7 linked regions of the Macaca fascicularis genome follow. The protein of the gene in region 7 purifies or fractionates together with the protein of the main gene of each other region. This does not show direct contact. Links are inferred from orthologs where the notes say so. Each region holds a gene or a part of one and is shown on either strand. Other genes may lie near its edges.

Evidence for each region.
Region 1: the proteins of CCT2 (region 7) and GNB1 purify together in Homo sapiens (co-immunoprecipitation; 3 studies listed by BioGRID and IntAct, with this or other methods). This does not show direct contact. The link is inferred for Macaca fascicularis from reciprocal best matches to the Homo sapiens genes CCT2 and GNB1.
Region 2: the proteins of CCT2 (region 7) and ACTR1B purify together in Homo sapiens (affinity purification with mass spectrometry; 3 studies listed by BioGRID and IntAct, counting the BioPlex papers as one, with this or other methods). This does not show direct contact. The link is inferred for Macaca fascicularis from reciprocal best matches to the Homo sapiens genes CCT2 and ACTR1B.
Region 3: the proteins of CCT2 (region 7) and RFWD3 purify together in Homo sapiens (co-immunoprecipitation; 3 studies listed by BioGRID and IntAct, with this or other methods). This does not show direct contact. The link is inferred for Macaca fascicularis from reciprocal best matches to the Homo sapiens genes CCT2 and RFWD3.
Region 4: the proteins of CCT2 (region 7) and FBXW8 purify together in Homo sapiens (co-immunoprecipitation; 3 studies listed by BioGRID and IntAct, with this or other methods). This does not show direct contact. The link is inferred for Macaca fascicularis from reciprocal best matches to the Homo sapiens genes CCT2 and FBXW8.
Region 5: the proteins of CCT2 (region 7) and IGBP1 purify together in Homo sapiens (affinity purification with mass spectrometry; 4 studies listed by BioGRID and IntAct, with this or other methods). This does not show direct contact. The link is inferred for Macaca fascicularis from reciprocal best matches to the Homo sapiens genes CCT2 and IGBP1.
Region 6: the proteins of CCT2 (region 7) and WDR76 purify together in Homo sapiens (affinity purification with mass spectrometry; 4 studies listed by BioGRID and IntAct, with this or other methods). This does not show direct contact. The link is inferred for Macaca fascicularis from reciprocal best matches to the Homo sapiens genes CCT2 and WDR76.

Annotation. Positions count from the first base shown.
Region 1 is NC_088375.1:232,963,672-232,967,942, reverse strand, and holds the start of GNB1 (guanine nucleotide-binding protein G(I)/G(S)/G(T) subunit beta-1), read right to left. Parts: upstream 2,880-4,271; 5' UTR 2,700-2,879; intron 1,904-2,699; exon of another isoform or gene 1,795-1,903; intron 1-1,794. UniProt on the Homo sapiens protein: Guanine nucleotide-binding proteins (G proteins) are involved as a modulator or transducer in various transmembrane signaling systems.
Region 2 is NC_088387.1:2,056,227-2,060,441, forward strand, and holds the start of ACTR1B (beta-centractin), read right to left. Parts: upstream 3,041-4,215; 5' UTR 2,912-3,040; coding exon 2,864-2,911; exon of another isoform or gene 2,042-2,863; intron 657-2,041; coding exon 592-656; intron 1-591. UniProt on the Homo sapiens protein: Component of a multi-subunit complex involved in microtubule based vesicle motility. It is associated with the centrosome.
Region 3 is NC_088394.1:70,438,354-70,442,093, forward strand, and holds part of RFWD3 (E3 ubiquitin-protein ligase RFWD3), read right to left. Parts: intron 3,699-3,740; coding exon 3,548-3,698; intron 2,070-3,547; coding exon 1,893-2,069; intron 1-1,892. UniProt on the Homo sapiens protein: E3 ubiquitin-protein ligase required for the repair of DNA interstrand cross-links (ICL) in response to DNA damage. Plays a key role in RPA-mediated DNA damage signaling and repair.
Region 4 is NC_088385.1:123,950,258-123,953,997, reverse strand, and holds part of FBXW8 (F-box/WD repeat-containing protein 8), read right to left. Parts: intron 786-3,740; coding exon 579-785; intron 1-578. UniProt on the Homo sapiens protein: Substrate-recognition component of the Cul7-RING(FBXW8) ubiquitin ligase complex, which mediates the ubiquitination and subsequent proteasomal degradation of target proteins.
Region 5 is NC_088395.1:76,905,149-76,908,888, reverse strand, and holds part of IGBP1 (immunoglobulin-binding protein 1), read right to left. Parts: intron 2,565-3,740; coding exon 2,485-2,564; intron 786-2,484; coding exon 673-785; intron 1-672. UniProt on the Homo sapiens protein: Associated to surface IgM-receptor; may be involved in signal transduction.
Region 6 is NC_088381.1:20,412,627-20,416,897, forward strand, and holds the start of WDR76 (WD repeat-containing protein 76), read left to right. Parts: upstream 1-1,461; 5' UTR 1,462-1,514; coding exon 1,515-1,574; intron 1,575-2,468; coding exon 2,469-2,867; intron 2,868-4,271. UniProt on the Homo sapiens protein: Specifically binds 5-hydroxymethylcytosine (5hmC), suggesting that it acts as a specific reader of 5hmC.
Region 7 is NC_088385.1:76,371,100-76,374,520, forward strand, and holds part of CCT2 (T-complex protein 1 subunit beta), read left to right. Parts: intron 1-1,358; coding exon 1,359-1,478; intron 1,479-1,841; coding exon 1,842-1,970; intron 1,971-2,168; coding exon 2,169-2,272; intron 2,273-2,516; coding exon 2,517-2,616; intron 2,617-3,421. UniProt on the Homo sapiens protein: Component of the chaperonin-containing T-complex (TRiC), a molecular chaperone complex that assists the folding of actin, tubulin and other proteins upon ATP hydrolysis.

The sequences.
Region 1 (4,271 bases), on a different chromosome or scaffold from region 7:
CAACACACAAAGTTAACAGAGGCTAATCTGGGGTCTTAGAATCAAGAAAGATTAAAAAAAAAATTTTTTTATACTCTTCAGTTTAAATAAAATAAGTTAAAGTAACATCTTTAAAAAAATGCCTGTGAGGGTCTCACACTGTTGCCCAGGCTGGAGTGAGTGGCACAATCATAGCTCACTGAAGTTCAAGCCATCCTTCTACCTTAGCCTCCAGAGTAGCCAGGACTAGAAGCAGACACCACCCATTACACCCAGCTATTTTTGAAATTTTTGGTAGAGACAAGGCCTTGCTATGTTGCCTGGGCTGGTCTCAAACTCTTGGCTTCAAGGCATCCTCCTGCCTAGGCCACCCAAAGTGCTAGACTCGAATCTAATGCTTGAGCTACCACACCCAGCCTAAAGTTAACTTTTTAAAGTTACTTGATGCAGCCAGGTGCAATGGCTCATACCTGTAATCCCAGCACTTTGAAAGGCTCAGGCAGGTGGATCACCTGAGGTTAGGAGTTCGAGACCAGCCTGGCCAACGTGGCAAAACCCCATTTCTACTAAAAAATACAAAAATTAGCCAGGTGTGGTGACGTGTGCCTGTAATCCCAGCTACTCGGGAGGCTGAGGTGGGAGAATGACTTGAACCCGGGAGGCGGAGGCTGCAGTGAGTGGAGATCATGCTACTGCACTCCAGCCTGGGTGACAGAGCGAGACTTCATCTCAAACAAAAAGTTACTTGATGCAATTAGCTGGGTATGGTGGAACGTGCCTGTAGTCCTACCTAGTTGGGAGGCTGAGGTGGGAAGATCGCTTGAGCCCAGGAGTTCAAGGCTGCAGTGAGCTATGATAGCACCACTGCACTCCAATCTGGGCAACACAGCAAGATCTTGTCTCTAAATAGTTACTGGAAGAACTGTAACATATCGCTAAGAACAATAATGGAGAGAGTAATAATTTGGGAAAACGCTTACTATATACTAAGTGAAAAACAATATAAATTTGCATATAGTTATTTTATTTGAGACTGAGTCTAGCTCTGTGGCCCAGGCTGGAGTGAAATGGCGCGATCTCAGCTCACTGCAACCTCCGCCTCCTGGGTTCAAGCGATTCTCCTACCTCAGCTTCCCAAGTAGCTGGGATTACAGGCATGCACCACCACACCTGCCTAATTTTTGTATTTTTAGTAGAGACAGGTTTTCGCCATGTTGGCCAGGCTGGTCTTGAACTCCTGACCTCAAGTGATCTGCCTGCCTCGGCCTCCCAAAGTGCTGGGATTACAGGCATGAGCCACCGCACCCAGTCGCAGGTAGTAATTTTAGCTGCTTTATTAGAATTAAAATAGGTCTGGGCGCGGTGGCTCATGCCTATAGTCCCAGCACTTTGGGAGGCTGAGGCTGGCAGATAGCTTGAGCCCAGGAGTTCAAGACCAGGGTAGGCAACAACATGGCGAAAACCTGGCCTCTACTAAAAATGCAAAAAATTAGCTGGCGTAGTGGCACACGCCTATAGTCCCAGCTACTTGGGAGGCTAAAGTGGGAGAACCCACTCGAGTCCGGGAAACTGAGGCTACAAGCGAGCCGTGACTGCGCCACTATGCTCCAGTCTGGGCAAATGGAGTGAGACCTTGCCTAAAAAAAAAAAAAACAAGAAAAGAAAAATATACTTATTTTAAAGAAAGACAGTTAAAAAGACTAACAGCATTTTTATTATAATTATTAGTCACGTTTTTCTACTAAACTTCCTAATGTTGACGCAGCTTCCTTTGAAAATTAAAAAATAAATGTAAATTTTAAAAGTCGTACTTACATTTTATTGCTTTTGCTTTTCTCTTCACTATCCTTAGTCCCCCAAACCTTCTAGAACACCCACCATCAGGTTTACCTGGCTTGGGCTCCTCTCCTCCAGTGCCAATGTCACGGCTAAGCTCTGGCTGTGCTGACTCCAAGAACTTGCCCGTCTAATCCACTAAGACAGGGTCTGCTGAGGTCTCATGTCTATCCTTCCCGATGACCCATATCTGCCATTGGCTTTTATTTAGAATTTCAGTTTTGGAAATCCTTTTCAGAGAGATTTAAATAACTTAAAAGCAAGTAGGTGAAGGAATCTGCCCCTACTTTAGAACAACATCTTTGTGAGTCAAGTGTTAGTTAGCATGATTTTTAAAGTCAGAATATTTCACATTTGCATTGCAATGTGCTCCGTGTAATGCCTCTACTTTCATGGCAATGCAGCAGCCCAGGCCTCTCATCCAGGCCCCTGAGAGTCTAGGAGCGGCACTTCAGCGGTGCCCGCAGGACCCCAAATTACACAGTCAGCAATAACGACATTCAGGCTGCAAGTATGCCAATGACAAAATAGGGTACAGATATTGAAAAATAATTTCAATTTCTGGTTCTGCGACATACAAAGAATAATGCTTTAAATTGTTTTTTACTCTGATCTGCTTAATTCAAAATAGGAATGGTGTTACCTACATGACAGGGCTAAAATGAAGATTAAATCAGACAACCAATCTGAAAGTGCTCTGTCAGCCTTACAGTGATTAAACTTCCGAAGTCCAAACTGGCCCCAGTGAGGCCCCAGTGTCTTACACAGGGGCAGGAAATTTGCTAATTTGACCAGCCACACAAGGATCACAGCTCACCTCCAAGATGAAGCAGTATTTTGAGAGAGAGGAGTCTGCATGAGGAATTTAAACCAATTTCACTCACTTTTCCATTTTTCTTTCATTCCCAAGTCCAGGTCAATCTCCAAAATTAAGACTGTGGCAATTCAAAGGGCAACGGAAAGTCCTCAGGCCCTGCTCCCTTTATGCACCGCTCCGAACAATACTGTGAAGAATAAGGGGAGCAGGGCACCACCACAACTGATAAAAGGACACGACCACTAACACAGCTGCAGAGCAGCGCATGTGCAGACCCTCCCTTCAACACGACAGGCACCATGGCGCCTCGGCACAGTGCTGAGCAGCATGAACCAGGCTGGCTGCTAGTCTGAGGGAGACAGATGACTAACAGGTAACCACGTGGAGCATACACAGGCACCAAACGGGTGAAGTGTGCCAGGGAGGGCAGGGAGGATGCTGCTTTGCATGGTTGTTAGACATGACCTTGCTAATAAGGGCCAAGAATTGAGCGGAAGGCAGATGGGTAAAAATAACACAACTGTTCTTGTTTGAGGTGCTATTTTTTGCAATGGTAACAATTTTTAAAATCATACCTTCAGGATTTTGCCTGTGCCTATAAAGTAATCTTACCAAAAAAGTGAATGTGACCAAAGCTCCAGAACCTGCAGATGGGAGCGTGTTCAATGACCCCACACGGAGGCAACAGAACCTGAAGACAGGGGAGCGTGTTCAATGACCCCACACGGAGGCAACGGAACCTGAAGACAGGGGAGCGTGTTCAATGACCCCACACGGAGGCAACGGTGCTACACAACGGCCTGGGAAACACTCCAGCACAGACAACCAGGCAGGTTGGTTAGTCTGTCTTTAACAAATAAACTTCAAGGGAAAAAGGAGACAAAGCAAGCAATGGAAGGAGGATTTCTGGACTAAGTTAAGAGACTCCCTAGGATCATCTCCTTCATGCCCCAGTCACAAGTGAGCTCACTCACCCACCAGACACTGGCAACCGGGGGAAGAGCAGGAACTACGGTGTGCGGTCACAAAGTCCTCAGAAGGCGATTCTCTGGGGAGGGGATCTAATAGCCAGGGGTGAGCCAGTGAGGCACAGCTATTAAGAGCTTACCTCCGACCCCTGGAACTCTGAAATCCCAGGAGGTGGTTACTGACACTCCCGAAGACTTATTATTATTATTATTATTATTTTTTTTTTTTTAGACGGAGTCTCGCTCTGTCGCCCAGGCTGGAGTGCAGTGGCGCGATCTCGGCTCACTGCAAGCTCCGCCTCCCGGGTTCACGCCATTCTCCTGCCTCAGCCTCCCGAGTAGCTGGGACTACAGGCGCCCACAACCGCGCCCGGCTAATTTTTTGTATTTTTAGTAGAGACGGGGTTTCACCGTGGTCTCGATCTCCTGACCTTGTGATCCGCCCGCCTCGGCCTCCCAAAGTGCTGGGATTACAGGCGTGAGCCACCGCGCCCGGCCGACTTATTATTTCTCATGCATCACAAAAAACATTTGGTCTCCCAATTTTGCTCTCCCTTTTCTTTTTTTTTTTTTTTTTTTTTTGAGATGGAGTCTGGCTCTGTCGCCCAGGCTGGAGTGCAGTGGCCGGATCTCGGCTCACTGCAAGCTCCGCCTCCCGGGTTTACGCCATT
Region 2 (4,215 bases), on a different chromosome or scaffold from region 7:
TGCCTCCTGCCTTTCGGCCACTCATTCCCAAGCCTCCAGGAAGACGTGCTCCTGAGGGCAACTTTCCCAATGGGCTCGCGGCGGGTGCGAGGGGCACCCCAGGCTCTCTGGGTTTGCAATTCTCTTACTCCTGCCTCCACCGGTACCACACGGGGCAAAGGATCCCCTCTTAACTGCAACAAGACATTTCCTAGAGTCTGCAAACAAGTCCAGCAGAAAACCCCTTCAGGGAGGAAAGGGTGGCTGTGCATCTAATTCCTCACTCCTCCTGATCTGAGCTTAGGGCTCCCCTTGGAGGTGTCTCCCTTTATTCTTGCTGCTGCTACCACACCCCATCCCCAGGGAAATACTGGCTGCTTTTCCTCCTTGCTGGCTCAACACCACCAAACTGAGAGACTCCAAAGACAAAGGGGAACCCTAGAACGCTTAGTCTTGTTCTTTCAGTGCTCTCTCGAGTGTCAATCTCACAAATTTGGTGTTTTCCATACAGGTCAGGGCAAAAATTGTCTTCAAAGAGTGCTGTGACAGAAGGCTAATGTTCTCACAGAAGATAAACAGAAGGACTGAGGCTGCTGCCCGAGCCACACTTACTAGTTTGGGAAACAGTATTTGGGAATCTGGTCTCCTGCAAAGCCGGCTTTAATCACCCCCGAACCCTGCAAGGAAAAACAAAGTTTAACGGCCCACACACACCACCAGATGAAGCCAGTCCCCTGCAATGGAGAGAGCTGGCTGCCCTGTCAAGGCAGGCCAAGGAGGAAGCCAGGGACCCTGCCAGGATCATTTACAAGTACATCAATGGTTCAAGACTGGGAGCAATTTTGTATCCCCCTGCCCTGGCAACATTTGGCAATGTCTGGCAGCTGGGGAGAGGGGACATGCAGTGGGGGATGCTATTAGCATCTAGTGGGCAGAGGCCAGGGATGCTGCTAAACATCCTACAATGCACAAGTGAGCCTGCACTACCAACAATGACCTAGCCCAATGCAATAATACAGAGAGAGAGAAACCATGAAGGGCACCTTCCTCTGCACACCTCATAGTCGGCTCCAGCAGGAGGATTCCATAGCACATGCTACTCCCAAAAGCTACAAGAAACCCCTTTGCATGGGTTTTTTTTTTTTTTTTTCAACAGCTTCCCTCTCCCCCAAGAACCCAGAAGGCATGGAACATGGACCACCTACAGGACCTGCTGGAGAAGACCAATAGGTGCATGGGATGACTGGCAGCTCCCCTCATGTGGCTTCCCCAGAGACTACTAGGAGAACCTGCTCCTATCGCTGCCCCCACCTGGCAGCTGGACTTAAGGATCCCCCAAAGAACCGGGCAATTAGAAACCTCCCACCCAGCGAAGGGGCCAGCTTCTCAACGCAGCTCCACCGCTCTTCATCGCAACCCTCTGAGTCTGCAGCAGAAACAAACATCTCCAAGTTACAGAGGAGAGGCTGGAATCTCCAAGGGGCCTAGTGGTAGCCCTTTGAACTTAGAAGCCTGTTGATTAGCCCATACGAGTTATTTGCACATCAAGAAAGGAGGTAATGCCGGGCGCGGTGGCTCACGCCTGTAATCTCAGCACTTTGGGAGGCCGAGGCGGGCGGATCACAAGGTCAGGAGATCGAGACCACGGTGAAACCCCGTCTCTACTAAAAATACAAAAAATTAGCCGGGCGCGGTTGTGGGCGCCTGTAGTCCCAGCTACTCGGGAGGCTGAGGCAGGAGAATGGCGTGAACCCGGGAGGCGGAGCTTGCAGTGAGCCGAGATCGCGCCACTGCACTCCAGCCTGGGCCACAGAGCGAGACTCCGTCTCAAAAAAAAAAAAAAAAAAAAAAAAAAAAGAAAGGAGGTAACCTGCTCCTTCCTGCAGCGTCCCACTGGTGTGACACCACGTCGCCAAGCTCAGTGCTAGCCTCCTCATTAAACATCCTCTGCTGTGACTCAGGGAGCCCACGTGGGTACTCCAGAACAGACAGCCATTCAGGGACCCCACGGGGTCATGTGGGAGGGAGACAGATCCCAGAAAGAGCAGAAGTGAGTCATTACCAAAAACTCCAAGGCCCGCACACCAGACGCAGACACCCAGCTAGGGGCAGACTCAAAGATCCCAGCCCTTATCTTCTCCCCGTATCAGAGCTCGGAGGCCAGAAATCTTCCTACGGTAGCTGAAAGCAAGCCGAGCCCCACTGCCGAAGGCCAAAACCACAGGACGCCTGACATCTTTCCTCTGAGGCTTCCAAATGATCACCCCAAATAGCTTGCTGATACTGGGAAGTGTGGCCATGAACTCTCCATTGCTCTGCTGGCCGTGAAATGTTTGCCCAGCACAGGGAGCATTTAAGGAAAAAGTCAAAGTAGCCAAGAGGCAAACCAGATGGTGGTGGACATGTGGGTGACAGAGTATCCTGCATTTGTTGCCTCGGGGTGCAGCCTCAAAGATGAAGCCAGCAGTGTGCAAAGGACAAATGCCACCCCACCTCCGCCAGGCAGCCAGAGCCAGGGCCGAAGGACGGGGAAAGGGACTGGGGTTGAAATCTGCCCAGGGACCGCACTCTCAGCTGAGAAGGGTCCGGGGCGCGTCCCCGCCCGGCCGCCCGGCCGTCACTCAAGCTCTCCTGAACTTCCCCGCCCGGCTCGGGGAGGGGTCGGGGAAGGGGCTCTGCAACGCGGGCGAGGGGGCTCGCCCCATGGCCGGCCTTACAGGGCCAAGTGGGCGCGCGCCCCAGGAGCGACGCCAGCGGCCCGGCGGGGGCGACGGCCAAGCAGTGAACGGAGGACGCGCCGAGGCGGGCGGGGGTCTCTCCCTGCGCCGCCGCGTGCGCCCCCGGGGGCGGGGCGCCCGCCCTCCCCCTGGCTGCCGGGCCTCACGTTGTCGATGACCACGGGCTGGTTGGCGATGATGTCGTAGGACTCCATGGCCGGGCCACGCCGGCCCTGCCCAGCAGGCGGGCTGCAGGAGGGACCGGAGGGCGGGCGGGCGGGCGGGCGGGCGGGAGGACCGGGACAGCGGCGGCTCCCGACGCGGCGCCGCGCCCCTCCCTCCCCGAGCGTGCAGCCTACGCGAGCCCCGCGGGGCTTCCTGGAGGGCGGGCCCCGCGGCCAATCACCGCTCCCACCTGGTCCGATTGACAGCAGCCGCCCGGGGCTGCCAGCGCGCAGGGGGCGGGGCCTCCGGAGGCTGGCCAGCCAATTGAGGTCATCCGGAAAAAAGTGGTCGCGGTGTTGCCAAGGTAGGCTGCGCAGCGTGGGGGATTATGTCATGGCTCCGTCTTAAAGGGGACGCGGGCGGCAGAAAGTGGAGCTGGGCTGGTGTGCGGGCGCGGCCGGAGTAAGTGGAGCTGCAAAAATTCACCGGTCCAGGAAGACGTCTTTTCCGCGTCCCGGCACCTCGGGCCACGCTCCTTCGTGAGAGCGCCCTCTCCAAGGATGCTGGCCCTGGATATTTCGCCCGAAGTATTTATGTTTTCTTTTTTTCTAGATAAGGTGTCTTGTTCTGTCGCCCAAGCTGGAAACCTTGGGCTCAAGCCATCCTCCCGCGCCAGCCAATAAGGGTGGACTACAGGCGCGCACCACTGCCCTCAACTTATTTATTTATTTATTTATTTATTTATTTATTTATTTTTACTGAAATAGGCTCCGTAGAGACTGTTAAAGATTGCCAATGCCGACTATATTGCAAGTCGTCACGGTGGGGTATTGGGAAAAGTTTTCAATTAGCAATAATCGTGCTTCGCATAAACCTCATTGGCCACCTTACGGCCACCGCGCAACGCTAGCTAATTAAAACAAAATTTTTTTTTTTTTTTTTTGAGACGAGATCTCGTTATGTTGCCTGGGCTAGTCTCGAACTCCTGAAATTAAGCAATCCTCCCGCTTAGGCCTTCCAAAGCGTTGGGATTACAGGCGTCAGCCACTGCGCACGACCCCATGATATTTCCTCGTTGAGCGCTAAAGAAAAGATCCTTTTCCTCATAAAAATCACAGTTTCGTGGTATTTTGGTCCTGGCATTTCTTGAGCACCTGCTCTGCGCCTGCGGAGCACTTCTGTCCACTTTACATAGGTTATATTAAATCCTTACAACAATATCAGGTATTTGTCTTATTACTCCCATTTTTCAGTCAAGGTCTTCACACTTTGGTAACCTGCCCAAGATTATTGGGCGGGGAATTGGCATGCAGGTAGCCCCCTGCGCGCACTGGATTCAGCTGCTTCAAGAGTG
Region 3 (3,740 bases), on a different chromosome or scaffold from region 7:
GCGCCTGTAGTCCTAGCTACTCAGGAGGCTGAGGCAGGAGAATGGCGTGAACCCAGGAGGCGGAGCTTGCAGTGAGCCGAGATCGCGCCACTGCACTCCAGCCTGGGCGACAGAGCGAGACTCCGTCTCAAAAAAAAAAAAAAAAAAAAAAAAAACAAAATAAAGATCCCAAGTTGTAGATGACAGACCCCACAATTAAAATACAGCTAAAAGCAGCTACATTTTAATTCAGAAACAGGACTGTTTTAGATTTTCTATATTTCCTTCTGCAAGCATATGACCAGGACTATGCGCCAAGAATTCTCTCAGAAATATCCTCCTTCAGACTGTGTTCCTATGAACTCATTTCTGCTGTGAACTCGTTCATGCCAAAGTTGCCAAAGTCTACTTGCCTGTTTTATTTCATTTTCCCTGTCACAATAAAGGTAATCAAAGTAAACACAAATAAAAATGAACAAGACAGACAAGTATTTTTTTCTTGCTATTTTAAAACTTGCCGTGTTTGGCTGGGCATGGTGGATCACACCTGTAATCCCAGCACTTTGGGAAGTCGAGGTGGGAGAATCACTTGAGGTTTGAGACTAGCCTGGCCAACATGGTGAAACCCCATCTCTACTAAAAATATAAAAGTTAGTCAGGTGTGGTGGCGCATGTTGGTAGTCCCAGCTACTCGGGAGGTGGAGGATGCAGTGAGCCAAGACTGTGCCACTGCACTCTAGCCTGGGTGAGAGTGAGACACCGTCTTAAAAAAATAAAAAACCACCACCACCACCACCAAAAACAAACAAACAAAAAAACCTTGCCGTATTTTACTGTCTACTCTATTTGGCCCTAGGTTTCAGTAAATAATTATTACTTTAGTGATATCTTTATGTTTGGCTCTCCTTGCTCTTAACATATCCAATTGGAAACATAAATTATCTGTTAAGATACTTTTCATTTTGGTCAGGACACAGACCCTACTTCCCTTCTGAGAACTTCATACATACAGGGCAGCTCAACACATTCTAAAACAGAGTGGTGCTGGTGGCCATCCATCCTCAGAACTTGGGCTGACTTTATAAACTTCTCAATCTCACAACTGGATTAAATGATAAATAATAATAATACAGTATCTTCAAACAAGTTGGTTTAGCTTTGGATTAGGGAAGTTTTAAATCACTTTTGATTATGCTATCCTTAACTGATCTCTTCCTATGTGCTAGACACGTGGCTATTTTTTTTTTTGAGACGGCATCTCACTCTGTCATCCAGGTTGGAGTGCAATGGTGCGATCTCGGCTCACTGCAACCTCCACCTCCTAGATTGAAGAGATTCTTCTGCCTCAGTCTCCTGAGTAGCTGGGATTACAGGCATGCGCCACCATGCATGCCTAATTTTTTTTTGAATTTTTAGTACAGACAGGGTTTCACCATGTTGGTCAGGCTGGTCTCGAATTCCTGACCTCGTGATCTGTCCGTCTTGTCTTCCCAAAGTGCTGGGATTACAGGCGTGAGCCACCGTGCCCGGTGACATGTGGCTATTAAAGCAAGTCTATATGGACCAGATTTTACAGATTAAGCTCACAATGGGCCAAGAAACACAACTAAGGTCACACAACTTCTAAGTAGTGGAGCTAGGTTCTGAACATAGATCTGACTCTGTTTTGCCATGTTAGATAATACTGACTATGAACCTGGCAATACTTGTACCAAAACTCTGTCATATGAAATATCATGAATACAAACTCTTGTTAACAAGAATGTTATTAATTCTCAAGTGAGATCAAGTGGATCTTCAAAAACTGTAAGGATTTCTGACCAACTGTGTAACACCCTCTGAAGAGACGATTAACACAATAATAAGCCAAGAGACAGTTGCTACCACCAGGAAAAGAGTGAGTGGCTCCCTACCTGGCTTTCTGAGCTACTAACTCCTGCACATGACTGCTCGTGTTCCGCACGTCATATACCAGAATTGAACCATTGGCCAGTCCAGCATAGATGTAGTTAGTCTCATCAAGACACCAGCAACAGCTCCAGACAGGACGTCCAGCATTGTAAGTCTGGACCACGGTATTTGTCTCCAGGCTGTGGAGTTACAAAAGACTTTTACAACTGCATTAAGAAAATCAAATACATGACAAAGATGTAAAGATTATCATTTAAATGATCATTAACCCTTACCGAGAACACACTCATATAACCAAACTATCTGGATTTCCTATTTTTTCTAGGATCTGCCCAGGTAACTCCTTTAAATTCCATAACATTTGTTTTGGGGGTCACAGGTTTTCCTCTTGAGTTGTAAAGAAGTAAAATAATAAATTAAAGGGGCTGGGCATGGTGGCTCATGCCTGTAATCCCATACTTTGGAAGTCTGAGGCAGACAGATCACTTGAGGTCAGGAATTTGAGACCAGCCTGGCCAACATGGCGAAACCCCATGTCTACTAAAAATACAAAAGTTAGCCAGGGGTGGTGGCGTGCATCTGTAATCCCAGCTACTCGGGAGGCTGAGGCAGGAGAACCACTTGAACCCGGGAGGAGGAGGTTGTAGTGAGCCGAGATTGCGCCACTGCACTCCAGCCTGGGTGACAGAGCAAGACTCTCTCTCTCTCTCAAAAATAAATACGTAAATAAATAAATAAATAAATAATAATCCAACCAACACTTTGGTATGTAACATTTTTCTACCTTATTTTTAAAACAATACTTATAAAGGCATGGAGCACACTCACATCTGGTTCACAGTACTCACAGAGCATGTGACAGATAAAACACTGTAACTAAGTAAGGGTATAAAAGAAGTCATCATGGTACCCAAGGGCAGTGAGTGCTTGGTGAACATCTCTGTTATACAGAATTGTCCAGGTAACAGACCAGGACTAGGAGTAAACAGTACCGACCTAGTATGGTGACTCTGATGTCAGGTACCAAAGCTCCCTCCATCCTGTCATTCCACAAACTTTATTTTTAAATTTTATTTATTTATTTATGTATTTATTCATTTACTACTTTTTTTTGAGACACAGCCTTGCTCTGTCACCCAGGCTGGAGTGCAGTAGCTTGATCTTGGCTCACTGCAACCTCCACTTCTCAGGTTCAAGTGATTCTCCTGCCTCAGCCTCCCTGGTAGCTAGGATTACAGGTTTCTGACACCATGCCCAGCTAATCTTTGTATTTTTAGTAAAGACGGGTTTCACCATGTTGGCCAGGCTGGTCTCAAACCCCTGACCCTCAGATGATCCGCCTGCCTCGCCTCCCAAAGTGCTAAGATTACAGGTGTGAGCCACCACGGCTGGCCTCCACCAACTTTAGAGTTTTATTCTCATCTCCTTAAAATATGCTTAAGACATTTTTTGTAATATATATAATTTTAAAGAAATAAGAAACACAGTTTTGTAACCTGCTGTGCCCACTTCTAAAAGCAATGTATTTTAAATAGATCTCAGAAGACACAGTCTCAGACCAAAAAAAAAGAGCTAAGGTCATCATAACACTGATACTAATTCCATGCTACTCAACACCAAACAGCCCAGTCTCCACCTTCCTCCCCAAATCACTCACCTGGTCAGTTTAATAGTGTTGTCTAGGGAAGCAGAGAGTAGCAAGCCTCTGGAGTAACTGCTAAAAGCCAGTCCACGGATCTGTTTGCCATGCATCGGAATGTACTGACTGCTTCTCATGTTGGCAGTACTCAACATCTTAACACCAAAGCCTGCCAAAGGCAAAATAGTATGAAACAGATCACTGAAAGTGA
Region 4 (3,740 bases), about 48 Mb from region 7:
TGTCCATCATTATCGCAAGTACACATCCTAGAGATACACTATATATACAAGGACTTCTGCAAGCTGCAATATACATTGTAGCGTTGCTTATAGCAGCCAACACAGTGAAAGCAAGCTAAATGCCCACCAGTGAGGGGCCTGGCTAAACAGGCTATGAGCTAGAAGCATATGCTGGAATCCTAGGGAGGGAGAGTTGGTAAGAGCTGACATGGAATGCTCTCCCCAAGGCACATTATGGAGTAAAAATGCTGGGTACAGAACACTATGTATACTGTGATCGCATCTCTACAACAATATGTTTTCAGTATACAAATGTACTTATATACGCATTACATTTTTCTAGGTGGATACCTCAAAACTGTTAATAGTTTATTCTATGCAGCGAAGTTGGGGGAAGGGAGGAGAAAGAAAACGATTAATTTTCATTTTCAATCCTTTTGAAGTTCTTTGAATTTTTTGACCATGCTTATATACTGCCCTATCTGGAAAAATATTGAAGAGCTTTAATTTTTCAAGTCCCTGCTAAAAAATAAATCTATGTTCTTTTTTGTTAATTATACATCTTGCTAGTTGTGTACCTTGCTTCCTTCGTACACCCATCCCAGGCCCTGTACACCAAAAGCAACTTGGTTGGCAGAGACGTCTAGACATGTGACAGGCGGGCCGTGGGCATAAAGGAGGGTTCTGGCAGAGTCTTCGGCTTTGAGCAGGTACATCAGATCTCCAGCAGCGGCTACTGCCACAGGGTACCTTCCAGTTTCTGGAACTATTTCAAGGTACTGAACCTGTTAAAAGGTAAGAGTTGTTTAGTCCCACAAATTCATCCTGACTTGGTCAAAAATATGCAATTCCACCTACACATCAATGCGAAGGCCAGCAACCCAACAGAAAAAAGATGGGCAAATGAAACACCCACAGGAAATGAAACACAAACAGCTCTTACACAACAGAAAAGATGTTCAGTGTAAGAGAAACATAAGACATGCCTAAAAAGAGAAATACAAAATGAAAATTCATTGAAATATGATGCTTCATCTTTCATATCGGTAAAGATCAAGAAATCTGATAACACCCTAGGCTGGAAGTGAAGGAGGGAAAAACCATGTTCCATGTTTCTGGATTCCACTTATTGCTGGTGGGGACATAAATCTTGTCCAGCTTCTATCAAGGGAACTTTGGCAACTCTTATCAAAATACCAAATGAACATACACTCTGACCTAGGACATCCACTTCTAGAAGTTACTTACAAATAAACTCACAAATATAAAAAATAATTATATACAAGGTTATTCATGAACTGTAGTACAATTGTGTCTTAGCTAAAAACTAGAAAAACGGAAACACCCATTACTAAGGGACTAATTAAGTAACTTAGTGTATCTATACACTGGAATACCATGCAGTCATAGAGGGAAGCATGAAAACGTTCTTTATAAAACGAAACAAATGGGATGATTCTCCAAGATATACTTAGCGGGTAAAGCAAGGATGCAAGATGAGTAAGGTAACCTCACCTGCTGAATGTGTACAAGGTGGGGGCGGAGAAAGTACACCACACGCTTGACTCGCACATCCATAAATCTACTAACAATGGCTGCCTTCAAGGAGGGAAGTGGATTATGAGATGCAGAGATTTCCCACCATCAGCCTTATTGTGTCTTTTAAATTCTGAACCATGGGGATGTAATAGCAATTCAAAAAATAAAAGGTTTTTTGTTTGTTTGTTTTGTGTGTGGTTTTTTTTTGTTTGTTTTTACAAGAAACTGAATAAATAACATTCACTCAGTTCCAAATTCGCAAAAAAGAATATTTTAACATTCGTGCCAAAATGTGTGGCCAAAAGGTTCAAAATATCCAAGTGATCTGCTGTCTCCTGGTTTCAATGTCATCAGGGTCCATCTGGCCACCAGAGGGTAAGGAAGGGATCTACAAACACATTTTTCTACCCACCCTGCTCCCCAGTCCTGAATGCGTCACCACCGGCACATTGTCTAATGTGCACGAGTCTGAGACGCACTTTTCAAGAATAATTTGATTCTGTCCATCCACAGGCGGCCCATTTCTCCACGGTGCTGTTCCCAACAGGCTTTCGCCTCTTCGAGTAAATCACGAGAGGACACATGGAAGGTGAGCCACGCTGTGTAATAATGAAAATCCACAGTGTGAAAGGACAGCGCTGCCCTGACCATACGCCAAAGAGTTCAAAGCCGGCCTCCGGAACACCGTCCAGAGGAGCTGGAGGGAGCGTCAACATCCGGGGGACTCTCCTAATCCTTGGGCCCAGCTTCACAAGCAGCAGGTCCATCACAAAGGACAGCCGCTCTAGGCTAATATCGCAGACCTGGGAACACTGCCACTGCCATTCAGGGGCGTATATGGACAAGACAAAACTGGCTTGGCTCTTCGGGCCAGGGGTGCCTTTTCCAAGGATACTCAGAGCATTTTGTGGGAACCTTTCACCCAAAGTGAAAAATAATTCCTAAACCATGCATAAAACCCGCCTCAGACAATGGCTGCTTGGTTCCTCTCACTCCTCCAAATCATTTGTTATTTTCCTACAACGGACATCCTCTGTCTAGCCCTTTAACTTTATCTCCGTGTTGGCTTTCTGACAGACCAAGAGGCTGAGACTGACAGTGGTGGTGCCATTTGCTGGGGGCTGTAAACTACTTCAAAAAGCTTCCAGTCTGTGCCAGGATGCCACCTTATTGCCAAGGCAGGATTTGCACTTTACAGAGAAACTGGCATCTTAAGTATCTGGGTCCATTTAGTGATTGCTGGTCTACAGTATTCTTTAATCACAGACTAAATAGTACTTTGGAAGTTTTGAGAACAGAAATATACTTTCACATTTTTCTAATAAAACCCAGATGAGTTGACATCATCAGGCCATCTTGGGGGAGCACTATTTCCAAAGTGCAGATGCTCATGGAGGTGAAGCAGTGATGCCATGGCTTTCTAAGTTATTCTAGTCTAAGATTTCCACCAGAGAGGAAGAGGGAGGAACAGGATTGGTTCCAGGTCAGGCCCTCAATTCATCACTCAGTGTTGGCTTTTCTGCTCACTCTCCTACCAGTGCCAAAATCAAGTTTGTTTAAATTAAATCCAAACTCAGCATAGACAGATTTGAGAACTTCCTTCTTAGCCCCAAATCATCTCCCACTCTACAAATATAGAGGTTCCTGTATAAATGAACTCAGAAATAAGCTCGACATAAAGAATTCTTAAGGCTGGCTGAACTGCACAGGTGACATCCTGGAACATGGCTACCCCATTAACACCGACTTAAATCTATCTTCACTCAGGAGTTACTTTCAATTTCAGGTGAGACAGTCTTGGGATGAAGGAAGTGTAGGAATGGAAACCTTCCTTCCCATATGGACTGGGATAACACCACTGAACTCATTCTCGCTTATATATTAGGTCAGAAACTGATCATCAATTCCCAAGGGTAAGATTCCACCGTGTTAGTCTGAAAAAGGCCAAGGAACCACAGTGATGAGCAGCTCTGACCCTGAAGTCAGCCCTAAGGTTTGAATCACAACTTCTTAGCTCTGAGAACTGGGGCAAGCCAGTTCACTGCTCTAAGCAGCAAAGTGACTTCTTGGTAAATGGGGAAAACACTACTACCTATTTTGTAAGGCTGTAGTTAGATTTATGGATGTAAGGCCCACAGGAAGCTCTGAGTGAATGGGAGTTACCAATGCCATTAGTACATGCTTATATTAGACCCAGAGAT
Region 5 (3,740 bases), on a different chromosome or scaffold from region 7:
GGGGACAAGAGTGAGACTTCGTCTCAAAGAAATGTGACAGGAGTCAGACTGTTCATCCCAGGTCTGTCCATACTTTTTCTGTTATACCCTATTGCTTCCACCTTTTTGATGGCCACCCTCTCCATCTTGCCCTTCCAAAGACAATTCCAAGTACCCACTATGACCCAATTACTAAGTTGGGCATTAAAGGTACAGTAAGCCAAAGTCCCTGCCCTCAAGGAGTTCCAAGTATCATTTCCTCCTTGTAAGTGCTGACTCTCCTTCAGCTTACACCTGTTTTGGTGACCTTCCAGTACCTTCAGGTAGTTGTTTTTAAAAATATTTTGTTCAGTTTGTAATTGTTATCCTGTATGAAGGGCTGGCCTGATACAACCTACTCTGCCATTACCAGATGTGGAACTGCTATCCATAGACTGAGTTTTCTACACAGCTTGCTCTGTTTTTATGTCATGACATTTGGAGAGATTTACAAACTATGCTACCACTGTCCCCATCCTCCCATAATCATCTGCTATCTAATAATAAACATAATACTGCCTAGAATCTTTCTATTACTCAGAATCTTTGTCCCCACTATTTCTGCTCCTAAAGGGCAACTATACTTGGTGAGAACTTAATTGCCAGGGAGTAAAAGACCAGTGGTACAACTATTTCCCTCCTACCCCGTCATACCTGGTGTTGCCTTGGCTATTCCCTGATCCGGTAATGCTCCATATTTCCGATGTTGCTCATACCAGTCACTCACCGTCATAGTTGCCAGACTTGGATAACCAGCTCCAAATACTCTGCAAAAATTACACTGCATTTAGAAAACGAAAAAAAAAACTACTACTAAAAAGTCTCTTTAACAACAAAGTCTGTGTCCATTTCAGCCTTGTTCCCTACCCAGTCAACTTCTGAGGAGTTGTGCAAACTCACGGGAGGATATGTAAAAAGAGGCATCCAGAAAGGGGCATTAAAGTCCAGAGCTTTCATGAGAAGATAAATAGCCCAGGATCATCTCCCATTAAGCAATCCCAGAGGCCAATACTCCACAAAGCAGTGAAGACACCGTGGAATGGGTATTCACAGTTGGTGACTCTGAAAGGTACAGAAAACAAGGAGACTCTCATGCCACCCTAGGGAAAAGTATCTCAAGAACTCAGAATTAAATCACAGGGAGGCAAATATGTCCTTTTGAGAATTGTAGCTGAAGGCAGGAAGAGTGCGAATAATGTTTAAAAGACAAAACAAAACAAAACAAAAAAAACCCTTTAAAGTATACAATTCCCCGTTCAATTATTTTCCTTTTTTCTGTTTTATTTGTTTGTTTACAGGTCCGCCTTTTTTTTTTTTTTTTTTTAGATGGAGTCTCACTCTGTCGACCAGGCTGGAGTGTAGTGGGGTGATCTCAGCTCATTGCAGCCTCTACCTCCTGGGTTCATGCGATTCTCCTGCCTCAGCCTCCTGAGTAGCTGGGATTACAGGTGCCCACCAACATGCCTGGCTCATTTTTCTATTTTTAGTAGAGATAGGGCTTTGCCATGTTGGCCAGGCTGGTCTTGAACTCCTGACCTCAGGTGACCCGCCTGCCTCGGCCTCCCAAAGGGCTGGGATTACAGGCGTGAGCCACCATGCCTGGCCCATGTGTGCCTATTTTTAAGCTTGAGTTTGCGAAGGAAGTGTCTGAGGAAGACAGACATGGTGAAAGTTTCGGGAGAGATAATATCCCTTTGATAAAAGAACAACTTCCGTAGGTGAGATCATGACTTTTCTTTTCTTTTTTTTTTTTTTTTTTGAGACGGAGTTTCACTCTTGTTGCCTAGGCTGGAGGGCAGTGGCGTGATCTCAGCTCACTGCAACCTCTGCCTCCCAGGTTCAATCGACTCTCCTGCCTCGGCCTCCCTAGTAGCTGGGATTACAGGCATGTGCCACCACGCCCAGCTAATTTTGTATTTTTAGTAGAGACGGGGTTTCTCCATGTTGGTCAGGCTAGTTTCGAACTCCCGACCTCAGGTGATCCACCCATCTCGGCCTCCCAAAGTGCTAGGATTACAGGTGTGAGACACTGTGCCCGGCCGAGTTCATGACTTTTCTTTTTTTTTTTTTTTTTTGAGACGGAGTCTCACTGTGTCTCCCAGGCTGGAGGGCAGTGGCGTGATCTCGGCTCACTGCAAGCTCCACCTCCCGGGTTCACGCCATTCTCCCGCCTCAGCCTCCCAAGTAGCTGAGACTACAGGCGCCCGCCACCACGCCCGGCTAGTTTTTTGTATTTTTAGTAGAGACGGGGTTTCACCATGTTAGCCAGGATAGTCTCGATCTCCTGACCTCGTGATCCACCCGCCTCGGCCTCCCAAAGTGCTGGGATTACAGGCTTGAGCCACCGCGCCCGGCCCGAGTTCATGACTTTTCAACATCACTCAGTCTGTGGGTCACTCATGAATTGCCACATTGAACCATAAAAGCAGAGGGCTGCAAAGCAAACCCCTTTCTAGTACTACCTACTTGGCTTGGGCCGTGTTCCGAGTGAGAATGAAGGGTTTCACTGGAGGCCTCTCTTGGCGAGATGAGTTAGAAGTTGATGCCTAAAAAGGAAATTAATTATGAGAGGTGAATTTGCCATTTTACTCAACCTACCATATGGGCTCTCAAGTCTTCGGGTGCTTGAAAAGCTCTGGATTCAAAATTCACTTTCTATTTATCAGTCTCTAAGATATAGCAGCAGAACACTAATGGTGGAGGTTCCTTAGCTCTCCTGAGGGGGCCTGAGTACCTTACAAAAAAGACAGAAAGTTCTCCCAGGAATCATATCACTAGAAGTAAACAAAATTACTTGGCTTTAAAATACCCTGTCCAAAGAAGAAGATTCCAAAGTCCTCTTCCATGTTCCATCTAAATCCCTTGAGGTGAACTTGAAGCCCCTTTCCTCAGCCTGGCCTTCAGTTAAAAAGTTGAATCACTACAACCTTTCTTCTAAAACCTCTTCCAATGTAATTATGCACTTAACTGTCAAGAACTTCTACGGCGCTTTAGAAGTCAATGTTCCTAAATGAAAGGGACAAGGAATAGTTGGTAGTTTCCATATACAGGTATATAGAAAAGTTTCAAGGAACCTTGGCTTTCTAGGGGCATGCTGAAACAAAGGATGGTTAAAGAAAAGGTGCTCACTTAGTTCTAGCTCGATCACTTTCAGAACCAATTCCAATACCACATGAGAGGACATGAAAACAACACGACAATTACAACAAACAAACAAATGAACAAGAAAAAACAAAAAACCCACACACAAAGAAAGGGACAGGGCAGGACCCAGAAAAGTCCAGCCTTAAAATGCTTGTAAAGCACTCATCTAGACATGCTCAAGGGGCCTTATGACCTTAGAATACTAATTGTTCATTCTTTGATCTCTTAACATGAAGAACTAGGTTGATGTTATCCTGAGGCAAGAGCTCCTGGGCTAATTAGTACAAATCAAATTAGGAAGAGGTTTCTCTGAGGACTTAAATAAATGCCTGTGACTTGCTGATAAATTCAACCCAATTCATGTTGTGTCCTGAACCAAAGAACAAGTGGCAGCAGAGCCTATTCTTCTGAAGTGGCAGCTCCAAAACAGGGTTATGATGTTCAAAGACAGCCAAAGCTGTTACGCCAGGTTTCTTTACCAGTTTACTGGACACTCTGTGCATGGAAATGTCCTTGCTGTGCCTCCTACGTGGGTTATCTAAAGGTGTGAGAGTGCATCATTGTGGCAAGGTTAAATT
Region 6 (4,271 bases), on a different chromosome or scaffold from region 7:
GCCTATTTAAGAACTCTTTAAGGACTTACAGGATAATAACAGAAGCAGCGCCAATTTACAAGCTGGGTTGTGTTAAAAAAAAAAAAAATATATATATATATATGTATATATGCTAATTGGAAAGTCAGAGCACATTTCACATTAGAAAGGACTTTATAACTGCGGAGGAGACAAGGGACAGCAGGAACAAAGTTCTGAAGTCCAGAAACAGTATACATTATACAGGACACCATGAAAAGTTTGGTTTTATCAGTAATTTTTGAGTCATGGAGGGCCTTGAAGTTGCTGTTAATGTGATTAACCCAAATTACTTCACCTGTGTTCTACAACTGGGCCTTGAGTGGGAGAAGAAATGAAACTGGACAAGTCTCAGGCAAGAACAGTGTGGGACCCAATTAAGAAACTAAGGAAACAGTTTTGGGTAGAAGGAAACTTAAAGAGAAGAATAGCCAGAATCTTATTTTATTTTTATTTATAAAAGAGACAGGGTCTTGCCCTGTCGCTCAGGCTGGAGTGCTGCACGACCACGGCTCACTGGCCTCGTCCTTCTAGGTTCAAGCCATTTTCCCACCCCTGCCTTCCGAGTAGCGGGGACTACAGACGTATAACACCACGCCAGGCTAATTTTTGTATTTTTTGTAGAGATGGGGTCTCACTATGTTGCCCAGGCTGGTTTGGAACTCCTGGGCCCAAGTGATCCACTCCTCTCGGCCTCTCAAAGTGTTGGGATTACAGGTGTTAGTCACCGCTCCCGGCCTGCCAATGTTTTTCAGAGCGAGATCCCAGTACCACCTGAATCAAAATCAGCAGTCTGAGGTAAAAATGTCAGTTCAGCCCCAGGACTTCCCTAAAGAATTTGAGTCCTTCTGCAAGTTTTCTTTATTTTAGTCTTCTTACATGCAACTTCATTGTTAGAATTCTTTTCTAATAGGGATCTGGGGCACATAAGCTGGTCTAGCTGGTAATTACTGAGTGAAAAGGGGGCAAGATAGGCCTTAGCTGTTTTTATTAAAACTGTAGTCTGTACTGGTCTCAAAGACACATAAGCGATTTTTTTTTTTTTTTTTTTTTTTTTTGAGACGGAGTCTCACTCTTGTTGCCCAGGCTGGAGTGCAATGGCACGATCTCGGCTCACTGCAACCTCTGCCTCCTGGGTTCAAGCAATTCTGCCTCAGCCTCCTGAGTAACTGGGATTACAGGCATGTGCTACCGCGCCCGGCTGATTTTTTACTTTTAGTAAAGACGGGGTTTCATCATGTTGGCCAGGCTGGTCTTAAACTTCTGACCTCAGGTAATCCGCCCGCTTCAGCCTCCCAAAGTGCTGGGATTACAGGCGTGAGCCACCGCGCCCGGCCAAAGCGGCCTTCTTTAAGAAGCGCGGGTAACCCGGACTTCCCGCTCTGGCGCTGCGGCCGCTGAGGATCTGAGTGGGCTCCGCCCCGTCCCGGCCCCGCCCCTCTCGGCCTCCCGCCGCAATCTTGGCGGGAAGGAGCCGGCCACCGAGAAGCCGAAAGATGTCCAGGTCGGGCGCGGCGGCTGAGAAGGCGGACTCCAGACAGCGACCCCAGATGAAGGTGAGAAACGGATCGGTGCTTCCAGGTGTGCGCCTGCTTCGGTTTTTGTGAGGGTTATGCGGGACACAGGCCCGGAAGGTCGAGGGCGCCTGGTACCGGGGGTTGGCGGCGATCCCTGCCCTGAGGCCTTCGGCTTTGACGAAAGGTTCTCATCAATAACCCTAGAAATAGTGGGAGAGTCACATCTGGGATTCCCTTTCTTCAACCTTCTGCGTTTGCTTTTGCCACAGTTATGATCAGCTTCACACTCTTTAAATAATTCCAGACAATCCGCAGCTGACAGTGGGGTATTTGCTTCAGTCCAAATGCTAGTCATTATTATTGGTCTGGGAAACTCTGATGGGCACATGTGCCTAGTAAGTGAATTCTGTTGAGGTTAAGGTTAATGAATTACATATCTAGATTTTGGAGGGGGAAAAAAGTTTTCTTACAGGGTGTCAATTTGGATTTATTTATTTTTTTGAGCTTGAGTCTCGCTCTGTTGCCCAGGCTGGAGTGCAGTGGCATGATCTTGGCTCACTGCAACCTCCGCCTCCCGGGTTTAAGCGATTCTCCTGCCTCAGCCTCCTGAGTAGCTAGAATTACAGGCAGGTACCACCACACCCAATTTTTGTATTTTTAGTAGAGACGGCGGGGGGCGGGGGGTGGAGTGGGGGTGGGGGGGGGCGGCGGGTTTCATCATGTTGGCCAGGCTAATCTTGAACTCCTGACCTCAGGCCCTGCCTCAGCCTCCCAAAGTGCTGGGATTACAGGGGTAAGCCACCGCACCTGGCATCAATTTGGATTTATATTGTCATTGTGAAATGGGAATTATTAGATCTGCTGGGGATCCTGTAAGAAAAGGCACAGGACTTGGAATTCTAATACTCTCTTTTCTTTTATTGATCTGAATAGGTAAATGAATATAAAGAAAATCAAAACATCGCTTATGTGTCTCTGAGACCAGTACAGACTACAGTTTTAATAAAAACAGCTAAGGTCTATCTAGCCCCCTTTTCACTCAGTAATTACCAGCTAGACCAGCTTATGTGCCCCAAATCCCTATTAGAAAAGAATTCTAACAATGAAGTTGCGTGTAAGAAGACTAAAATAAAGAAAACTTGCAGAAGGATTATACCTCCAAAGAAGAAAACCACATCTAAGTCTGAATCCGTGCTGCAAAATTCAGCCTCAGCTGTTCATACTGAAAGTAACAAGCTACAATCCAAGAGAACGGCAGATGCGATGAATCTCAGTGTTGATGTGGAAAGTAGTCAGGATGGAGACAGTGATGAAGATATCACACCAGGCGTGGTAAGGACTTAATTAGTAGCTTGTTCTAGTATCTCTTTTTTTAAATGTGAAGTTCTGATAAATTGAAGTTTTTCAAGGCTCTCTCTGGTACAAACAAATTATTTTATCTAATAATGTAAGAATAAATGTAATAATACATTATTATTTTTAAGGTTTAACAAATAACTTCCTTGGGTTATTTTTGCTTTTGCTGTTGATGTGTCAATGAAAGGATTGACTTAATCTTTACTCTGCTTCCCTTTTTCTTTCTTTAAACTTCATATATTTTTGGGTTTACTCATACTTTATGGTGCCTTGCTCACCTTTACATATTTATGTACAGTATATCAGAAGTCATCAGTTTGTGGGATATATGGTATTGACTGACCCTTGATATCAGGGTAGGGAAACTGATTATATGGATGTGTTGAATAATATTTCCTTTAAATGCAAAAGGAGACAAATGACAGAGTAGATAAGATACATGAGAAATGCATTAATTAGTTCTATATAATTCCAATCAACTTAAGGAATTTGGTGTGTAATTTTTTTTTTTGGAGACCGAGTGTCGCTCTGTTGCTCATGCCGGAGTGCAGTGACACTATATTGGCTCTCTGCAACCTTGGCCTCCTGGATTCAATAGATTCTCCTCCCTCAGCCTCCTGAGTAGCTGGGATTACAGGTGCCCCACCATGCCTGGCTAGTTTTGTGTTTTTAGTAGAGACGGGTTTTCACCATGTTGGTCAGGCTGGTCTCTAACTCCTGACCTCCTGATCCACCCGCCTCAGCCTCCCAAGGTGCTGGGATTACAGTGGTGAGCCACTGCGCCCAGCCTGGTCTGTAATTCTTTTGGCTTCTACTGCCTACCAGGAGGGCTGTGCTCCATTCAAACTGACAACTTTTAACAGGATAAGATAAAATATAAAGCACATGACACAATGTTGCTGGAACTCAGGGAACAGAAAATGATAGTAGGGAAAGGGAGATACTATAATTGAAGGGTTATTGTTATGAAATAGAAGTTTGGTTTATGCTTTCTTACCCCAGAGTTAAGAACCAGGACTCATAGTGGGACAGCATAGGATAAGTATTAGATGAATTGGACTTGGGGTTGATAGCCTAGCATGGCCACTTCTTTTTTTTTTTTTTTTGAGACGGAGTCTTGCTCTGTTGCCCAGGCTGGAGTGCAGTGGCGCGATCTCGGCTTACTACAAGCTCCTCCTGCCGGGTTCACGCCATTCTCCTGCCTCAGTCTCCTGAGTAGCTGGGATTACAGGCGCCTGCCACCACCCCCAGCTAATTTTTTGTATTTTTAGTAGAGGGTTCCGCTTTGTTCGCCAGGATGGTCTCGATCTCCTGGACTTGTGATCCGCCCACCTCGGCCTCTCAAAGTGCTGGAATTACAGGCGTGAGCCACCGCACCCG
Region 7 (3,421 bases):
ATTGCTGTATATACCCAGAAGAATGTTTATTTAAAGTACACCAACTATACGTCTATGAAGTTGACCACATGGTGGCTCCCATCCTTAAAAGCTCAGTAGTTGTCAAAGGTGTTTGATAACATTGGTTCTTGCAGGTGTCATTAAATGTCTTGAGCTGGGCATGGTGGCATGTGCCAGTAGTTTCATCCATTCAAGAGACTGAGGCAGAAAGATTGCTTATGCCCAGGAGGTTGGGGCTGTAGTGTGCTATGATGGTGCCTGGTGAACAGTCATTGCACTCCAGTCTAGGCAACATAGCAAGACACTGTCTTTTTAAAAAGAAAGAAACAAAGCCTTACATGTAGAAGGATGAAGTGAAAAGTTTCATAAGCCAAGTTAGTGTTATTTTTGGATATGACATCTGAAATATCTGTTGTGTCTCACATCTAGAACACAAAGCAGTCTCAGAATTTTCTCAGCCAGAAGTAAAAAGAACTTTATACAAATTATGAGTATAAATTAGTAGTTTAGAAGACCAGAGTCTTTATGAATTTATTGTAAAATAAATAATAGGGCATTGACAGATTTATCAGTAAGGAATAGGAAGAGAAGGGTTGATTGATAATATATGCAGTTCACATTATGAAAAGAGTAGTCAGCTAGAGAAAAGAATTTTGAAATGGAAACTTGACTTGCTTAGTTAGGAAATAGGGAATGAAGTGACTGACCTGTTCAGTTTACAGCATGGAAGATGGAGGGAAAATAGGAATAGAAATGAGACATAAGGACTAAAATTAATTTGTTCTTATTAAATTTGGTCTGGGAAATTCGTAGTATGCATTTCTTTTTTTTAGGCCTTAGGACATTTCATTTGTGATAGAGATACCAGGTGATTATTAAGCGGTTCATGAAGTGTATAGTGGTTGACATACAGGACAAATATTTTCATGTCTTGTGCTGGGAATTACAGATTGGATTCAGAAGAGAATCTGAATTTCAGTTCAAAAGTAACTGCTTTAAGACTCACTTTAACCTTTGGGAGGTAGTATTGTATAGTGTGTGCTTATAGATCTGAAGCCAGACTGCTTGGGTTTGAACCCCAGCTTTTTATGTTCATCCTAGTTGGGTAACTTTGGATAGGAAAGTAAACCTCTTGGCCTCATTTTTATCATGTGTAAAATGGATAATAATGGAGCCTATCCAAGAGGATTGTTTTAAAGATTAGTCAATATGAAGTATTTAAAGAGTGCCTGGTATATAATAAGCAATCAATCTTTAAAATGTTAAACACATCACCTATCATTATCCATTACTGCTTATTAGAAAACAGGAATTTTAAGCCTGCCGTGCATTTAGCTAATAAATGTTTATGCTTATAGGTGGTGAAATTGCCTCTACCTTTGATCACCCAGAACTGGTGAAGCTTGGAAGTTGCAAACTTATCGAGGAAGTCATGATTGGAGAAGACAAACTCATTCACTTTTCTGGGGTTGCCCTTGGTGAGTGATTATGTAGATCCTGGTTAAGGTGTCTAAATTCTTGCTAGGCTCTGTTGAAGTAAAGGCTATTGTAATTACTAGAATAGTGTATCTTACAAGTCTTAACTCTTCAGAAGCATGATACATATTTTGTTTCAGTCTCTTGAGGTCAATCTTGTATTACTGTGTCTTTGTGAAAAGTGCATGTTCAACATAGTTTTTTTCCTTGATAACTTAGAACCATTATGAACCTTGATTGTTGGAGAATGTATAATACAGGAAGACAGATCAGCTTTCAGAACCCAGTAATATAACCAACACCTGTATAAATAATAGAAGGCAAACTTTTTGTCCCTAAGTGGTCACTGTGACTTTTAATTTTAGGTGAGGCTTGTACCATTGTTTTGCGTGGTGCCACTCAACAAATTTTAGATGAAGCAGAAAGATCTTTGCATGACGCTCTTTGTGTTCTTGCGCAAACTGTAAAGGACTCTAGAACAGTTTATGGAGGAGGTAAGCATTTAGAAAATGTTGAATATTTTTATTTCTTGAAGTACAATATAAGTCATAAGTGGTTTTAATGGTTCTTATAGAAACTTTATATTGCCTTTGCACTAAATTTTAAAATGCTTGGCATATCTTAAAGTCAGTAATTCAGTATCTTGGAGACAACTAAGTTTTACAATATTTTGTTGGAAATTTAATCTATAGGCTGTTCTGAGATGTTGATGGCTCATGCTGTGACACAGCTTGCCAATAGAACACCAGGCAAAGAAGCTGTTGCAATGGAGTCTTACGCTAAAGCACTGAGAATGGTAAGTTAATCAGAATGAGAGATCTGAACTTAAGTTTTGTGGTTATTGATAGTTTTAAAATGAGTAGAAAATAAACTGGTTAATACTGCTTTTAAATTTAATTCTGGAGTTTCTCTTCTTCGTGAGCAGTAATTGAAGCAGATATTACATTGTTTCTAAATGCATAATTTTAAAAAGCTATCCTAGTTAGGAGTAAATCAGTGGTTCTTAGAGTGAGTAGTTACTTGTTTTCTTCATTTCATAGTTGCCAACCATCATAGCTGACAATGCAGGCTATGACAGTGCAGACCTGGTGGCCCAGCTCAGGGCTGCTCACAGTGAAGGCAATACCACTGCTGGACTGGGTAAGCAATCAAGGGGAACTTTGTGGCCGTTGTTAAAAGTAACTCTTTTCACCGGCCCTTTTTTTCTTTTGGAGCATAAAGAGTTAACGATAACCAACCATATAAAAGACTCTTCTGCTTTGTCCTCGTAACCATTATATGTGCTGGGAAAATGTGTGTGACTTTATATGCTCAGCATTTCCCAAACTTTGTTATTCCATAAGACATATAAAACTGATTAGAAGATTTGTAACTATTTGGTATATAATGACTATAGGATTTAAATATAAACAATACTTACACTCTGGAAAATAACATAAACTATTATGTTGCTTATACAATCAGTATTAACTCCTAATTTCATAGTAAACTTACTGCGAGATAATCTTGAGTACAGATCACAGATCTCCAGTCCATAGGTAAGAGTGGCCAATGAGGCAGATTTAATTCGTATTGAAAAACTTTCTGACAAGCTGTGCTGGACATTATAGAGTAGTCTTAAGAAGATAGATAATCCTGTCATTGAACAAGAGGGAGCACCGGTTAATCTGTGAGAAAGTGAAGCAGGATTCTCACAAGAAGAGAAGTTGTGTAGATGACTTCTGAATTTTCTTCCATTTGTTTTTCTTTTTTTTTTTTTTTTGAGACAGAGTCTCACTCTGTCTCCCAGGCCGGAGTGCAGTGGCCGGATCTCGGCTCACTGCAGGCTCCGCCTCCCAGGTTTACACCATTCTCCTGCCTCAGCCTCCCAAGTAGCTGGGACTACAGGTGCCCGCCACCTCGCCCGGCTAGTTTTTTTGTATTTTTTAGTAGAGACGGGGTTTCA